Nothobranchius furzeri: one gene and its partner. The protein of the gene in region 2 purifies or fractionates together with the protein of the main gene of each other region. This does not show direct contact. Links are inferred from orthologs where the notes say so. Each region holds a gene or a part of one and is shown on either strand. Other genes may lie near its edges.

The links. The genes of interacting proteins can lie anywhere in the genome.
Region 1: the proteins of ube4a (region 2) and ubxn4 purify together in Homo sapiens (affinity purification with mass spectrometry; 3 studies listed by BioGRID and IntAct, counting the BioPlex papers as one, with this or other methods). This does not show direct contact. The link is inferred for Nothobranchius furzeri from reciprocal best matches to the Homo sapiens genes UBE4A and UBXN4.

What each region holds. Positions count from the first base shown.
Region 1 is NC_091746.1:33,709,859-33,713,512, reverse strand, and holds part of ubxn4 (UBX domain-containing protein 4), read right to left. Parts: intron 3,475-3,654; coding exon 3,372-3,474; intron 2,288-3,371; coding exon 2,156-2,287; intron 1-2,155. UniProt on the Homo sapiens protein: Involved in endoplasmic reticulum-associated protein degradation (ERAD). Acts as a platform to recruit both UBQLN1 and VCP to the ER during ERAD.
Region 2 is NC_091753.1:38,236,564-38,240,217, forward strand, and holds part of ube4a (ubiquitin conjugation factor E4 A), read left to right. Parts: intron 1-38; coding exon 39-171; intron 172-260; coding exon 261-451; intron 452-2,786; coding exon 2,787-2,887; intron 2,888-3,116; coding exon 3,117-3,230; intron 3,231-3,387; coding exon 3,388-3,562; intron 3,563-3,654.

The DNA of each region.
Region 1 (3,654 bases), on a different chromosome or scaffold from region 2:
TGATTGTTGCAGGTAGTGATGTACAGTGGGGCAAAAAAGTATTTAGTCAGCCACCGATTGTGCAAGTTCTCCCACTTAAAATGATGACAGAGGTCAGTAACTTACATCATAGGTACACTTCAACTGTGAGAGACAGAATGTGAAAAAAAATCCATGAATTCACATGGCAGGATTTTTAAAGAATTTATTTGTAAATCAGGGTAGAAAATATTTGGTCACTTCAAACAAGGAAAATCTCTTGCTCTCACAGACCTGTAACGTCTTCTTTAAGAAGCTTCTCTGTCCTCCACTTGTTACCTGTATTAATGGCACCTGTTTGAACTCATTATCTGTATAAAAGACACCTGTCCACAGCCTCAAACAGCCAGACTCCAAACTCCACTATGGCCAAGACCAAAGAGCTTTCGAAGGACACCAGGAAAAGAATTGTAGACCTGCACCAGACTGGGAAGAGTGAATCTACAATAGGCAAGCAGCTTGGTTTGAAAAAAATCAACTGTGGGAGCAATTATCAGAAAATGGAAGACATACAAGACCACTGATAATCTCCCTCGATCTGGGGCTCCACGCAAGATCTCATCCCGTGGGGTCAAAATGATCATGAGAACGGTGAGCAAGAATCCCAGAACCACACGGGGGGACCTGGTGAATGACCTGCAGAGAGCTGGGACCACAGTAACAAAGGTCACCATCAGTAACACACTACAACGGCAGGGAATCAAATCCTGCAGTGCCAGACGTGTTCCGCTGCTGAAGCCAGTGCATGTCCAGGCCCGTCTGAAGTTTGCCAGAGAGCACATGGATGATACAGCAGAGGATTGGGAGAATGTCATGTGGTCAGATGAAACCAAAGTAGAACTTTTTGGTATAAGCTCAACTTGTCGTGTTTGGAGGAAGAAGAATACTGAGTTGCATCCCAAGAACACCATACCTACTGTGAAGCATGGGGGTGGGAACATCATGCTTTGGGGCTGTTTTTCTGCTAAGGGGACAGGACGACTGATCCGTGTTAAGGACAGAATGAATGGGGCCATGTATCGTGAGATTCTGAGCCAAAACCTCCTTCCATCAGTGAGAGCTTTGAAGATGAAACGTGGCTGGGTCTTCCAACACGACAATGATCCCAAACACACCGCCCGGGCAACAAAGGAGTGGCTCCGTAAGAAGCATTTGAAAGTCCTGGAGTGGCCTAGCCAGTCTCCAGACCTCAACCCCATAGAAAATCTGTGGAGGGAGTTGAAAGTCCGTGTTGCTCGGCGACAGCCCCAAAACATCACTGCTCTCGAGATGATCTGCATGGAGGAATGGGCCAAAATACCAGCTACTGTGTGTGCAAACCTGGTAAAGACCTATAGTAATCGTTTGACCTCTGTTATTGCCAACAAAGGTTATGTTACAAAGTATTGAGTTGAATTTTTGTTATTGACCAAATACTTATTTTCCACCCTGATTTACAAATAAATTATTTAAAAATCCTGCCATATGAATTCATGGATTTTTTTTCACATTCTGTCTCTCACAGTTGAAGTGTACCTATTATGTATATTACTGACCTCTGTCATCATTTTAAGTGGGAGAACTTGCACAATCGGTGGCTGACTAAATACTTTTTTGCCCCACTGTATTTCTGTTCTCCACTGATCCACTTTGTCATGGACCTACAACAGAAGTGGTCCCGAAAGTGCCATCAACCCAGTTCGGTTGTGCTGACTGCTTTTACAAGCGGTACAGAAAACCCTCGTCCCAAACCCCACAGTGGAACCGAGATCTAACTAATGAACCAGAGTGTCTCTGTAACAATCTGCTGGCTCCAGCCTGGTTCTGTGCCACGTTGTCAAAGAGAATGATGGTTTGATGATGAAACCGTTGCATGAGCAAATTCCAGCCTATGTTCCAAATGTACATTCATTCTTTTCTGCCCCCTTATCAGGGTCTTGAGGTAAGCAGAGAAGCCCAGAAAACACTAATCGGACTTTCAGAAACCCTGAAAAACATGGATCCAGGATTACAGAAGGTCTGGCTGCTGGACAGTTAAACATAAAGAGCACAGATGTACAATCTGTTTAGAGTTCTTTAAAACTGCTGAATGTAAAATATATAGTGACAACTCTTTTATTGGCTTATAAGTGGGTAAACTTTAATCTGGACCACTTACTGGCAGGACCACAATGGACGCACTGGGATTCAGCTCCAGCTCCAGCATGGTTCTGCTTAGATCTTCACTGGTGAACTCTCGTCGAGGAAACATGGTCGCTAAAGAGAAGTGCCCATAGCGATTTCCCACTTGCTGAAAAAAACAACAACAAACAAACAAAGTTTACAGAGTTAATTAAACAGATAGAAGAACTGGCGGGTCTCTCAGAACAAGGGTTTACCAAAAACCGCTCCTAGTTTTAGTGCAGGGTTCAAATACAGGAGGACTATTCTGTAGGTCTGATCTGGTTAGAAGAATTGTTCATGTTCAAACTGATTCAAGATCAGGTGCGACACCTATTAGGTGGTTCATCCATCCATCCCTTTTCAGCCGCTTATCCGGGTTTGTGTCGCGGGGGTAGTAACCAAAGCAGGGAGGCCCAGACTTCCCTCTCCCCAGCCACTTGGACCCGCTCCTCTGGAGAATCCTAAGGTGTTCCCTGGCCAGCCGTGAGACATGATCCCTCCAGTGTGTCCTGGGTCCTCCTTTAGGTCTTCTCCTGGTTGGATGTGCCTGGAAAACCTCACCCAGGAGGCATCCAGGAGGCCTCCTAACTAGATGCCAGAGCCACCTCAACTGGCTCCTCTCAATGTGGAAGAGCAGCGAGTCTCCTCCGAGCCCCTCCCAGATGACCGAGCTTCTCATTCTATCTCTAAGGGAGGGCCCAGCCACCCTGGGGGGAAATTCATTTCAGCCGCTTGTATCTGCAAACTCCTTCTTTTGGTCACTGCCCAAAGCTCATGACCATAGGTGAGGGTGGGAACGTAGATCGACCGGTAAATCGAGAGCTTCGCCTTCTGGCTCAGCTCTCTCTTCACCACGACAAACCGGTACAACGCCCGCATCACTGCAGACGCAGCACCAATCCGCCTATCGATCTCACGCTCCAGTTTTCCCTCACTCGTGAACAAGACCCTGAGATACTTAAACGCCTCCACTTGAGGCAAGACCTCATCCCTGACCCGGAGAGGGTATTCTACTCCTTTTCCAGTTCAGGTGACTCATCTGATCCATTTATTCATGAAGGAAAAATCTGAATGTTACTGAACTAGCCTGGATCTCAGGTCAGTTTTTTCCTGAAATAACCCAACTCAACCATCGTCACCACGTCGCTCTGGTTACACCCTGTGAGAGGATAAAAACAACAACAACAACATGGACAAGGAATGACACAAACCTCAGCGGCAAAGTCCCAGGCCTCCTGCAGCCTGGTCTGAGATGAGAACTGGTGGGTGAAGGATGACCCATCTGGGAGCCGGAACTGTATCCTGGCTACAGCACTGATCACACACACAAGCACACAACGAAAAGTCACACAGAGAATCTCCCTCCAGAGGTGTAGCTGGGGTCATCTCTGGAAGCTGGTGTCAGTGTTTAGCTCTATTTTAAGGTGTTGAAGACATTCTCCTAAATGTCCCCACTGAAAGACAATAAAAGATGTTTCTATTCTATTCTATCAA
Region 2 (3,654 bases):
AGGATAGGCTCAACTAAAAGCTGGCTTGTGTTTATCAGAGTTTTTTGCAGAAAACGTGGGAGACTTTTTCATCTTCCTACGGCGTTTTGCAGACGACGTTTTGGAGACTTCCGCTGAAAGTCTGGAGCAGATTCTTAATTTCATTACTGTCTTTATGGGCAATGTAGAAAGGTACGTGACTTTTTCTGACATGACTTTGGTTGCGGTAATATAAAAAGCAATCCACTTTTCAGATTGTTCCTTGTTTTTTTGCTCAATAGGATGAAGAATCCTCATTTAAGAGCAAAGCTTGCGGAGGTGTTGGAGGCGGTGATGCCTCACATGGAGCCGCAGGCTCTGGGTGCCGCTCAGCCTGTTGTGTACCAGAGGGAAAGGGTCTTCTGCTCCTATAGATATGCTCCTCAGCTGGCCGAGGCCCTCATCACTGTGTTTGTTGACATTGAATTTACAGGTGAAGCGAGTTCTTAGAACGTTCAACTTGCTAGTTTTAAATGACCTTTTTAAAACTTACTAAGTTCGCATAGTAGACATCGACTGAATTTAAAAGCCATGTTGTGTTTTTGTCTTCTCTTTTACTACCTCCTTTTTTACCTTAAATATTTTTATTTGTACTATTTTGCTATTAGCACCGGGACACGGAGAAACGCCATGTCAATTCTGTGTGTGTTTCTCATATGTCAGTCTTGACCACGAAGAAAAATTACCGTAAATCCTCTAATACAGGCCGGTATTCAATTAAAGGCTGGGTCTCCAATTTTGGCCGGTGTCGGAGTCGGCGGAGGTGAATAATGGCCGGTCTCTTATTGTGGCCGGGTGGAATGTGGTAACAAGCAAGTACGGGAGCGGTTGTGTCATCGTCTCACTTTTGATTTGCCAGTGATAGACCGCGAGTGTAACTTTAACCGTGCGGAGACGAAGAGGAGGCGAAAATTTGATATCAAGTTCAAAGAGAACGTGCGCTGCAGAACACTGGGGAGCAATAGGGGTTGTATGAACTAGTCAACTTCACTATAGTGACTTTTTATGCCTGTCGTCGACTAGTCGCTGTCACGTGATAATGACCGGCAAGATGCAGCCCTCGGAAAAGACAGCAGCCTGCTGTCAGCAGGTGACAAGCTCCTGCGCTCGGGGGGGCAACGCGCTCTGCCAGAGCGTCAGCACTGACACGCGATCGTTCATGTCGGTTCATTTCCTTTAATGTTTTCTGTCTTTTATTTGCGCCTGATGTGTTTCGCTGCTGTGGAGCGGGGCACATCACCTTGTCCTCCGACGCACTGATCACTGATGCGGCCGGCAAGCAGCGAGCACTCCACTGTTTTTGCGGTTGGTATATCTTTTAGAACTGCAGTTCAAAGGTAACTCGTGAGGTGAATATATATGAACCCAGGTAGCAGTTTTTCTTAAGGATTGAGAGGAGATGCAGGAAGATAATAAACAGGCAGGACAGAAAAATAGTCAAATAAAAACAAGTTAGTTTTTGTACCTGCTGGTTGCAACAAACAGACACCATTGAAGGTAATCAGAAGTGAGGAACAGAAAATGAAATAATTATTTTAATGTTTAGAGCAGCAGGAACTCCGAGAGGCTGCAGGCGCATCAGTGAGTTTGCGGCCGCTGCGCAGGGGGAGGGGGGAGAGGGCTGAAGCAGAAACTACCATTGTTAAAAGAATTGTGTTTAACTTTGAAAATGTGGGCGCAATTTTAATTGTCAAAAACTCCAGCGAAACATTCGTTCATTTTGCTCAAATAGAAATAGAGGCCTGCGTCTAATACTGGCCCTCCTTCCAATAAAGGCCTGGAGCTTGATGAGCTTGAGTCAAATACAGACCCGGGCCTGTATTAGAGGATTTACGGTAATTAAATAAAGTTACCGTTTTAGCGGAACAAGATATAAGAAATGTAGTATTGGATATTAGGCCCGCCCAAAGGACCCAGGAAGCAACCATACCCCCGGTTGAATGTTCTATCATGCACCTTGAGGTAAAGGGAGACCCCTGCTGTTGTAAGCGAGTGAGATAGCTTCCACAATCCAATGAGAGAACCTCTTTCTGGACAGAGCCTTACCTCTAGCTGGATTGGTAAAACACAGCTGGTCACACACCCTGAGTTTGGTCTGAGCAGCTTTTCTTGGTGGCAGTGTCTTCTGAACAGTCATCCTTTTTGTTTTACTCTATGGGGTAAAATGTTGCACTAACGACGCTAACGGTGAAATAAAAGCAAATAGTTGCTCTGAAAATGTCTCAAGCTACTTTTTCAATTATCAACAACTCAGTATTACAGTGAAATGTATTTATCTACTCAACTTACCGTGTATAACTCATCTCTTCTGGCGCTGATCCGTAACTGGCAACAGCCACGAAACCAACGAACCTGCTTGTTTTGAAGCTTGGGCTGCAGTACTCGGATTTGACCACAGGATGTCATTCCTACTTCATGCACCTTGAAGCTGATTTTGTAAAGTGAAAGCTCTTCTAGCTTGGTTGCACATAGTTAGAAAATTGGGTGTTCTCAGTGAGGTGAAGAGTGTAAGAGCTGAATAATGACTGTGATGGTAAGCGTGTTTACAGTACATGCAGCCAGGGCCCGCCGCTTTTCACCACGCATCATGTGCCTAAGGGCGTGGTTAAAGATGTCTTGAGTCAGGCCATGCGGAGGTGTGACGTCTCATACCATAAGTGTTGTACCGAGTGAGTGGACTAAAAGGGAACTCTTTATAAAGAACAGCTGAACAATGTAAACAAGCAGATGCTAACAGTTTACTCACCTCTTATCTGTCTGTTCTCCAGGTGATCCTCATCAATTTGAACAGAAATTCAACTACAGGAGACCCATGTATCCAATTCTCAAGTACATGTGGAGCAAGGACATTTACAGGGAGAGCATCAAGGTAAAGTTTTTCACTGTTTATCTGAACTCGCGGTCTTCTCACCTGCATGCAGTGGTATGACAGTTGTGGTTTTAACAGGAAGCTGAAATGTTTGGAGTTTGGAGAGTTCCTTGTTGTGCTCCAGTTGAACTGATTAGATCATTCTCATTCAAAAGTTGTAATTACCAACTAAAAGCATTCTGTTAAGTTCAAACTTGTTTTTTATTCTGTTTGATATTTTTTCATTCAGCGTTTGGCCAACTATGCATCTGAAAACCTGGAGGCCATGAACCCCCCTCTGTTCCTCAAGTTCCTCAACTTACTGATGAACGATGCCATCTTTCTGCTGGATGAAGCGATTCAGGTGAGTTTCCTTGCATATATGTCGATGATCTGAACTTATTTGGTCATTTTTCAGTGCTTTGAAGTCCTCCCAAAATGATGTCGTCAGTGATGAAATTTAGATTTGGTCATGGGTTTTTGTGTTGAGCCACATCTCATACATTTACTTTTGTGTGTAGTACTTGAGTAAAATCAAGATCCTGCAGCTGGAGCGGGATCGAGGTGAGTGGGAAGGCCTAGCCCCTGATGCTCGAAGAGAAAAGGAGTCGAGCCTGCAGATGTTTGGACAGCTGGGACGCTTCCACAACATCATGTCCAACGAGACCATCGGGACACTAGCCTTCCTCACCTCAGGTCAGGCTCAATAGGCTGTTACAGATACAATTGTTTTGTTGTTTGTTTATGTATTTTTTATGTTTATTCAAGCAGCTTTTGCAGCCCTAGAT